Linked DNA regions of Arabidopsis thaliana. The protein of the gene in region 1 interacts with the protein of each later gene in a pairwise test. Each region holds a gene or a part of one and is shown on either strand. Other genes may lie near its edges. The genes, in order: AT5G48360 and AT2G24250.

Region 1 (5,687 bases):
CATGTCTATATAAAGACACGTATGTTCAGAATGTTATCTAACACTTACCCTCTTTATTTCAGAGATGTCTTCTTCCATTGTTAAAATCGGAATAGATAGCATCAAAACAACGGTAACTGAAAAAGAGCGAGATATCAACCGTCTTGTGAAGACATTCTTGTCCAACAAAAACAACAGGAAGAAGATCATTGGTCTTGATACCGAACGGGTGCAAAAGGGAAGAAAGCTAAATAAGACCGTCTTGTTGCAGCTCTGCGATGGTGACAATTGTCTAATAGTACAACTTCCCGATGAAGATGAAGATGAAGGTGAAGGTGAAGATGATAATCTGCCACTCCCCCTCTTCAATTTTCTCAATCTACCCGAGTTCACATTTGTGGGCATTGGCATAAACAAGACTATGATGAGGCTTGAGAGTGAGTTTGGTTTGACCTGCAAGAATGTTGTTGAGATTGGACCCGCCACATGGAATCTGACCAATATGACGACCGATGTGAAATTTAGGATCAGTGCTATTGTTTCGACTGAGAGACCATCAAATGCCGTACTTGAGGACTGGGAGAAATTTGTTCTCAATAAGAACCAGATCAAGCTTGCAGCCTCCAATGCATACTTTGCTTTTGGCATTGGGAACATTTTGTTGGATGTTCAGATTTTAAGTTAATGAATCTAGATTTCTGTTTGTCTTTCTTTGTTTTTCTTTCTTATGTTCTTCAGTATCTTGTTGTAGTTTGCATTTCAACCGTTTTAAAGACCACAAAATGTGGTATTTGGTTCTTCATTTTTTTGTTCTTGTTCTCTCTGTTAGACCACAAAGTGTAATATTGGGAAAGTTTTGAGGTTAATTAGACTGCCACAATAAGCGTTCAACTAGCTAGAGTCTGAATGATTGTAGCCACCCTAAACTCTGAGGTCAAGGTAAAGGTATAATATTATTACTACACCACGTGAGCTATTGAACTGGGCCTGATAATTAAAAGTTGATTAGGGCCTATTAGACCACATAACGAAATCTTGAGCCGCTGCTGCTAGGGGGCTGAAGGATGATTAATTAAGTGTTCAACTTGAAGCAATGAAATAGCTTCTGAGAGAAGAGAGAGTTATGAAACTGAAATGATCATCATTTTTTTTCTTGGGACAAATCAGTCATCATCTCTTAATCTTATCTATGTAAAGTGTAACTTTTTTTTGCGGGATTAGTTTCCAATTTGTGATTAATAAAACCCAAATTTTAACTAATGTATAAGAGTTTGGGCTTAGAACCCAAAATAAGTGGGCCTCTATGCATTGTCTACCTTTAGATAGTGAAACTATTTTAGAATAAAATGACAAAGTAGAACTGTACAGTTTTTTGATGTTTTCCATGAAAAAGAAATAAGTTCCATGTATTGGAGAGAAGAGAGTCAGAAAAAAAGAGTCAAAAAGATTCTTTTGAAAGACGGGTAAACTTCGGAGTTCCAAGTAATTATTGCATTTTCATATACGCTCTGTTCCTGGATTCACTAAATCTTATTTGAATACAAATGCATATGTAGCAAATTTAATATTGTAACTATATGTAAAATGTTATTTTACAAAAAAACCTCCAAAGTATTTAGTTTTTGCAAACTTACCCTCCTAATCCTTAAAGTACATGACAATTGACAACTACCCAACCAAAGAAAAAGCTGCAATACAAATACAAGCCTCGGTTATATCGATCATCCAAACATGTGTTTTCTTTTTATTCAAAAACGAAAAGCAAGGAGCATTGTTTGATTGCATGAAAACGAAATTAATAACTCAGATGGTAAGGAAGCTCGTTGTTGACCCTATAGAATACATAGAATGCTTCAAAAAAAAAAAAATTGTAACAAGTGTCGTTCTCTATAGAGAAACAACACAACATAAAATTCTTAAAACGACATTGAGAAAAGGTGTGTATTACTGTTTTTTCCGTTGGTGGTTAGTTAATTGTCATTCATTTTTGGAATATAAACGGTAAACTTTTGCAAAAAGGAATATTACAAGGATTTGTATTGCAAAAACAAAAACACATCAATAGTTACTTCGATAAAAGTAAAAATGGTTGCAGAGTATTATTATTACTCAATAGGCCCTAGCTCAGTCACACAGGTACATCCATAATAGTGCCCCATTAACTTCTTTCACTCTCTTATTGTGTGTTGAACAGTGACAAAGAAAGAGAGAGAGAGCTTTGCTTTGCAGAAAAAAATGCAGAACTTTTGGTTCGCCATCTTCTTCTTCCTGCTAACATGCGCACCACCGTCTCCTTTATCCTACGCATCCACCGTAACTCTCAGCCGTCGTCTCCTCTATGACTATGAATCACCTCTTCCTCTTCCTCTATCCCCCATTAGCCCTCCTTTCTTCCCTCTTGAATCCTCCCCTCCTTCTCCACCTCCTCCTCTTCCGCCTACTCCTCCGACAACTTTCGCCGTCTTTCCAACTTTTCCGGCTAATATCTCCGCCTTAGTCCTCCCTCGCTCCTCTAAACCACACCACACTTCACCTACACTTCTCCTCCCAGCTCTCTCCGCCGTTCTTGTCATTGCTACAGTCATAGGCTTAGCCTTGTTTCTCTACGGCCGCCACCGAGGGCAAACTCGTCATTTAAAGAACTCTCATTGTTCTAGTAGCAACACAAGCAGCTATGGTGATGAACAGAGTCATATCACCACTAACTTCAACATGGCTGCTACTACTTCTCCTTCAGAAGTTTTTTACCTCAATACAGAGGAATCTGACCATATTAGAACCGGAGGTACTTTTTTCTTGAAGCAAGACTCGCCGGAGATACGACCATTACCACCATTACCTCCTCGTAGCTTCCACCATAACAACTATGAAACAGAGGTAAACGAAGAAGACGAAGAAGAAGAAGAAGATGTGTTCTTCTCACCAATGGCTTCTCTCCCTGGCTCAGCGAACTCAAGCCCTTCTCATTCATGCTCTTCCTCCTGCTCCGGTTGGGTTTCTCCAGCTAGGTCATTCTCTATCACCATGTCTCCACCAAACCCTAGATACTCAGACGCCACTAACCTCCAGTCTCCGTCACCGGAGAGACTAAGAGTAAGGAAGAACTATAACGGAAATGGGTCGTCTTCTCTAAGAATGTTTAGCTTCTGGAATCAAAATATGGGATTTGGGTTTCCTCGTATCTCCTCTGCTTCTACTTCACCAGACAGAGGATTCATAAGAACACCACTTTCGTCTCTCTACTCTTCAGTTTCCACTTCTCCTGATGGGTTATTCCGGAAGTTTCTCGATAGTTCGCCGCCGATTTGGAATGACTTTAGTCGGAATGTGAAGTCTGTTTTGCTCTCTCACACTGCGTCATCAAGAAGAGATTTTGTTATCAACATTGGTGAATCTTCTTCTCAACAGAGCAAAGTTCCTGCTCTTCCTCCTCCGACCAGACCACCTCCTCTTGTTCCACCGTCTCAACCTTTTGTGGTTCAAAATGATGTAAAAAAGCAATCTTTTTCAGACCAACCTCCCAAACAGCTGCATTGGGAACGTCTTAGATCGAGCTCTTCTAAGTAAGTGAAGTGAAAGTTTTCTTCTTTCTCTTTGTTTCTACTTTTGTTGATAAGAGTTTAACGAAGTCTATCTTTTCTGACTGTGCTAGATTGAGCAAAGAGATGGTAGAGACTATGTTCATTGCAAACTCGTCAAATCCAAGAGATCTTCCGATTCAAAATCAAGTTTTAGATCCAAGAAAGGCACAGAATATTGCTACTCTGCTTCAACTACTTAACTTAAGCACTAAGGATGTTTGTCAAGCTCTTCTTGATGGTAAAATAATCTTTAATGTATTGCCATTTGTTTTGTTTTGTTTTTGTAATGTTATTGATTTGTGTTCTTTGAGTTATTGATTTAGGTGACTGTGATGTACTTGGAGCTGAACTTCTTGAGTGTTTATCAAGATTAGCACCTAGTAAAGAAGAAGAGAGGAAGTTGAAGAGCTTTAGTGATGGTTCAGAGATTGGTCCAGCTGAGAGGTTTCTTAAGGAATTGCTTCATGTGCCTTTTGTGTTTAAACGTGTTGATGCATTGCTTTTTGTGGCTAATTTCCATTCGGAGATCAAACGTCTCAGAAAATCATTCAGTGTTGTTCAGGTAATGCTGATGATTGCGGATTTACATATTTGTGTCTAATGATGTAATCTTATGTTATGTCTCATTACTCATTAAACTTATCTGCTTTTGCAGGTTGCTTGTGAAGAACTAAGAAATAGTAGAATGTTTTCGATACTTCTTGAAGCTATACTGAAGACAGGAAACATGATGAGTGTTAGAACAAACCGCTGTGGGGATGCGGATGCCTTCAAACTCGACACGCTCCTCAAGCTCGTTGATGTCAAGGGATTAGATGGAAGAAGCAGTCTCTTGCATTTTGTTGTTCAGGAAATGATGAAATCAGAAGGCAGTGTGAGAGCTTTAGAAGGCATCAGAAACCTGAATACAGAACTGAGCAATGTCAAGAAATCGGCAGACATTGAGTATGGTGTACTAAGAAGCAATGTGTCAAGGATTTGCCAAGGACTCAAGAACATTGAAGCGCTTTTGCTACTTAGCGAGGAGAGTGGTTCATATGGAGATCAATGGCTGAAGTTCAAGGAGAGGATGACCCGGTTCTTGAAAACCGCTGCAGAGGAGATTGTGAAGATTAAAATACGAGAAAGTTCAACGCTCTCTGCATTGGAAGAGGTCACAGAGCAGTTCCATGGAGATGCTTCCAAGGAAGGTCACACAATGAGAATCTTCATGATTGTGAGAGACTTCCTGTCTGTTCTAGACCAAGTGTGTAAGGAAATGGGAGACTGATTCCCATTGTAAGATTTTTAATGTAATGATTAGGAACGCATCTCTAGTTTCATTGTATTGTAACCAGTATGACTAACGCCATTTCTGGATAATTCTGTATGAGTTTTTGGAAGACAATTCATTAGGTTTTGATGCTATGATTCTAATTTTGATGCTTTAACATGTTACCCTTACGACAAGCACAAATCAATGAGTTGCACAAGTAAGCCATATCTTTGGTCATATTAGCGAATCGTTTAGATACAGTAGAAATGCATCTACATTTCTAGTTAATTTGTGGTCAGAGGATAAACCTGATAAGCCAGGTCTTTTAAACATAGAAACACCATAACCATTACTGAAGAATTGTGCCTACACATTGTTGTTTGCTTGACTTCAAAGCTTCTGCATCCATGCGCTCGAGGATATGACGAGCTTCTTCCTCTGTGGCAGGAACTACATTTCGAAGTTTAAACCCATTGTTTCTGGCCTTTGCCTCTGGCCTTACAGTGAACTTGAAGTAGAATGTATTTGAAACCTACATCATATGTAACAGAAAAGAGACCTCAAAATTAACATAATGAGCTTCAAATCTGATAAGGTTCAAGAAATTTTGGCATGAAGATAGAATCAGTGAGCAAGTTCAATTTTAACAACCGTTTAAGAAAGCTCCATCATCAAGTTAGAATTTTACCTCACTGGAGCGAATCTCTGGACTTGTAACATGAGCAACAACTTCGATATTGATGAGCGGACAATCCTGTTTATCCAGTTGAGTGTAAAGAACACAGGATTTGAAACGTAAGAAATCCCCGACGTCCACCTGTCATTTAAGTCCATTAAGCGTAAGTTTACACAGAAGACGAACGTGAACAAGA
Region 2 (4,506 bases), on another chromosome or scaffold:
GCAAAAACATGTGCACCCTCGAGAAGGTCCATCTCCTGATATTGCTGATGATCAGCTTTCCGATGCTCTTCAATGTTTAGTGAACGTGAAGATCCCAGCATCTATTCCAAAAAAGATCATCCCTTTGGGCCATAAGTACAGAATGATCGGTTGGGAATATAATCGCGCGACTTTTCTTCGGCTAGACAAGGAGGGAAGAAGAGGAGAATTTGTTGTGCTTCTCGAAGTCTCTGACACTTTGCTGGTGTTAACAAGTGCTGAAATGAGGTGGAAGCAGCTTGAGAACGTCCCATATACTATATGCGTTGATATAGTCACTTTTAGAGGCAGATTTTATGCACTTTTTCTTTCAGGACAAATCGTCGTTATCGATCCTTATTCGCTGGAGGTGACTCTTCTGTTGTCCTCACCTCAGGACCCGCGAGAATTACGGTCTCTGGTTCCATATGGCAAAGATGAACTTTTCCTGGTTGAGGTAATCATCCCAAATGATGTTGTAATAGACTTTAGTCGGTTAGCTCGTAGAGTGAGGAGGGTAGATGAGAAGGCTGGTAAATGGGTTGAGGTCGGTGATTTGGGAGACTGTGTATTGTTACTTGGAAATCTCTCTTGCTCGGCTAAGGAATTTCCTCGGGGTTTTGGTTTGACTGAGAACGCAGTTTTGTTCGGCGATCAGTCAGGCAATGCATTTTTATACTATAAACAAAGTGCGGTAAAAGATCTCAAGGGAGAATCGTGTGATGATACTCAACCATTTTTTCCGGTTATGGCTCTCCATGAAGACTGCTAGGCAGTAAAATCCTGCTTTAGAGAAATAAAAACATAAATTCCTATCATATTTTTAGGTATGGATTTTGTGATATCTCATGTTACCCATTGTTGGATCACTGGTATTTAATGTTGAAGTTAAATCTCAGTTCTGAGTTCTTATAACTTTTTTTCGTCATCATGATCTTTTTGAACAATTTGACACTGTCCAAAACTGAAACGTTTAGCCACGATATAGAAACTCTTTTCTTGGTCACTGATCTTTTATTGTGTGCTGCCTTGTGCAGTTTAAAAATCTTGCTACTTGAATGGAACTGGCGCTTGATGACGACGATATGGACTAAATGTAGGAAAACTACATTGCTTTTGACCGTGTAGCTCCCGAAGACTTCCTCAATAAAGCAATGGCTGATTACTCTAGCTCGTTGATATTTCCCTGGAGTCTTTGATTTTTCTCGACGTTTAAGTTAGCTTTTCCATCTTTTTAACATATTATACCGATGTCATTTTGAATGAGAATATAGCTTTTAAGTGGAATAGAGAGGGTAGACATTTGTTTTTTCAAAGTGATGAAAAGAAGTGAACTAGATTCTTTAAAGATCAGAGCATATCCACTGTGGTAGCTCACATACTAATACTGTTACGCCAGAACTTTCCCAGAGAGTGTCAATGAGAAAAGAAAATTCCTTCCAAAAGCTAAAGCTAAGTTCTTGAAATCATCTTTAAAGGAAAATGAAACTTACTTCTATAGTTAGCCTAGGGAGTTTCATTGATGGGGTTACCAAGCTCTGTGTTATTTCATTAATGTTGCGTACTAGCGTTTATTAACCGTTCCAAAAACAAGAACTCACATCACTTTACGAGTTCCTAAGATTCAAACCGATCGAAGATACCTCTTGGCAAATCAGTATCAAAAATATTCTTGGGTACAGAGGAGAGAAACAAGAGTACAAAACAATCAACAGAACGAAGAAAAGAAACATAACAACAACATAATGCAAAAACGACGTCATCTCAAGTCTATCCGAAAACCAAAGTCTTAACCGGCTCATTTGATATAAACCGTCTCAATCCCTTCGGTTCTTTGCTTTCCCAATCAATCCAACCCCAAACCAAATTCGCTCTAAATCTTAACTAGTCTCTATCCCCATTTGTCGACGCTACGAAAGGGCTCTGAAGAATCTGCAGGAAGCTCCAACTTTTTCTCCAAGTTACGGTACTACTACGACCTATCTCTTTAATCCCTGCGAATATTCTATAATGAACTGTGAATTTTCTGTTACCAACTTTTAGTTTTTCCTGTGGCAAATTGATCAAACCCAGAATTGATTATGACCTTTGGAGCTTCAGTGAAATCAATTTTTTCCTGTTGGGTTTTATTTTCCAAGAATGAACTGAGAATTTTCTAAAAATGGAAGAGTTGGATCGTTTCAGCAATTTCATCAAACCCCTAAAAAAAAGTTGTAAATTTTCGAAATTGCAGCAGTAAATTTCTGTGTTCTTCAGCAGCAAGCATGGCAATGAAAAAGAAGATATCAACATCATCGATAATGCCAGACTGGTCTCAGCTCCCTGAAGAGCTACTTCACATTATCTCAACGCATCTAGAGGATCACTATTTCGATGCTGTTCATGCCCGCTCTGTTTGCCGCTCATGGCGATCCACATTTCCATTTCCTTCTTCTCTATTACGCCAAAGTTACTCTCTTCCCGCTTTCCCTTTAGAAAGCAAAGACTTGTGCTGCACCCTGGAGAAGGTCCCTTTGTTCCTCTTTAGAGTTCTAACTCCTCCTGATGCTGCTGATGCTTCCTCCGAATATTTTCTGGGAGGATTAGGCCAAGATAAGTCAAATGATCATGTGGAGCTTCCATCTCCTCTTCAGTGCTCAGTGAAAGTCAATGTTCCAGGAACTGAGCCAATTTTGATGAACATGCTTGACTGCCAGATCATCCCTCTGGGCCATAAGTACAGATTGATGATCGGTTGCAATCCTGAAGAATACAGTGCAGCTTTTCTTCCGCTAAACGAACAAGGAGGAGGAGGCGAATTCGTTGCGCTCCTCGACTGCACTGATTTGTTTTTGGTGTTAAGAAGTACTGAAATGAGATGGATTCGGCTTGAGAAACCCTCAACTGCTTCATGTAAGGAGTTATTCACTTTTAGAGGAAGGTTCTATGCAACTTTCTTTAATGGGGACACGTTCGTTATCGATCCTTCTTCGCTGGAAGCGACTCCCCTAACACCTCATATCGACTCCAACTTTCTGGTTCCATCTGGCAATGAGGAGCTTTTCCTGGTTAAGACAGACTTCCTAAGATGTAGAGTAAGTAGGCTAGATGAGGAGGCTGCTGAATGGGTTGAGGTCAGCGATTTGGGAGACCGTGTTTTGTTTCTTGGTGGACACCTGGGGAATTTCTACTGCTCCGCTAAGGAGCTTCCTCATGGTTGTGGTTTGACTGGGGACTCGATTTTGTTCACCGTTGGGTCACGCAATGTAACTTACCCCTATAAATATGGAGTACATACAAATAAAAGAAAGGCTGAAGACAATATCAATTGTTGGAGATCCTCAAGGGAGAATCGTGTGTTGTTCCGCAACAGATATGATCCGGTCCTGTCTTTCCGGGTTGAACGCTAGGCCGCAAATTCTCACTTCAGACTGTTATTCTGTTTTTATTAGATCAAAGGCTATGTTTTCCTTTGATTTTAAGTCTAGATTTTGTGTACTTGAAAACTCGAACTATACATGATCTCTAGCAAATGTGCAATGGTCTATTGTAGTTAGTCTAGAAAGATTTGTTGGTAACCAGCTATGTTCTTATCAAACTTGTTGCAGGCATAGCAGCAATGTCGTCCCCTTATGCCATACCCTCATACAACTACTATTCTTGCTTTTATTCTGTTAAGAGCTTTTTGATCGTTGTATATTGCTACTACATTTTGGTTTGAAGTAGTGGTGCATGTGTTGCATAGTCCGTAGGTAAAACTGGTCCGAAAGCGGTAAACAGGATCACTTCGTTGTTAGTTTGTATCCTTGGGATAGTGAAGATCTTGACAGTTGGTACGTTTGAGTTTTGTATCAAATTTAAGCCTTTTCTGTGATTCAGGGAAGCTTTCAAGAAAGAAGGTGATAATCAGGAAAACTACATTGCTTTTGACTACTCGAGCTGATTGTACTTGCCTTGAGGGAGTCTTTGATTTTCTCAACGGTTAGGTAAGCTTTTCCATCTTTTTTTTTAACATATCAGATTTCCAATATTCTTGAATGAGAATATAGCTTTTAAGAATGGAAATGGAACAGAGAGGGTAGAGACTGATTTTGCAAAGTGATGGTAAGAAGTGAACTAGATTCTTTAAAGGTCAGAGCTTATCCAATGTGGTAGCTCACATTGTTATGCCACAAACTTTCCCGGAAAGTGTAAATGAGAAAAGAAAATTCCTTCCAAAAACTAAAAGCTAAAATCTTGAATCTTTAAGGAAAAGCGAAATGAAGATATAAACTTTAACTGCCCCCAAAAGACAGTAGCAGTTGCAACCACTCACATGTACTAAGGTAACGAATCCTCAAAAAACCTTAAAGAAGCTGAGGTTGAGATTTTGGACCACCATGGAAACAGCTTAGTAAGTCTAACGAGAATAAAATAAAACACAGCTAATACTAAGAACTCTGTATCGAGTGAAGACCTGGCTATCGTTGATCGGTGTAAGAGACATAAAATCGTATAAAATCGATATCA

What was found.
Region 2: the proteins of AT5G48360 (region 1) and AT2G24250 interact in a protein complementation assay, tested with the Arabidopsis thaliana proteins (one large-scale study listed by BioGRID).

Annotation. Positions count from the first base shown.
Region 1 is NC_003076.8:19,593,502-19,599,188, forward strand, and holds AT5G48360 (Actin-binding FH2 (formin homology 2) family protein), read left to right. Parts: upstream 1-2,034; 5' UTR 2,035-2,214; coding exon 2,215-3,542; intron 3,543-3,631; coding exon 3,632-3,798; intron 3,799-3,883; coding exon 3,884-4,122; intron 4,123-4,215; coding exon 4,216-4,830; 3' UTR 4,831-4,991; downstream 4,992-5,687. Other genes in the region: AT5G48350 (Polynucleotidyl transferase, ribonuclease H-like superfamily protein), read left to right, coding at 65-664; AT5G48370 (Thioesterase/thiol ester dehydrase-isomerase superfamily protein), read right to left, coding at 5,165-5,347, 5,504-5,632. UniProt on the Arabidopsis thaliana protein: Might be involved in the organization and polarity of the actin cytoskeleton.
Region 2 is NC_003071.7:10,312,337-10,316,842, reverse strand, and holds AT2G24250 (LOW protein: F-box/kelch-repeat protein (DUF295)), read left to right. Parts: upstream 1-1,862; 5' UTR 1,863-1,984; intron 1,985-2,251; 5' UTR 2,252-2,282; coding exon 2,283-3,407; 3' UTR 3,408-3,777; downstream 3,778-4,506. Other genes in the region: AT2G24255 (LOW protein: F-box/kelch-repeat protein), read left to right, coding at 1-790.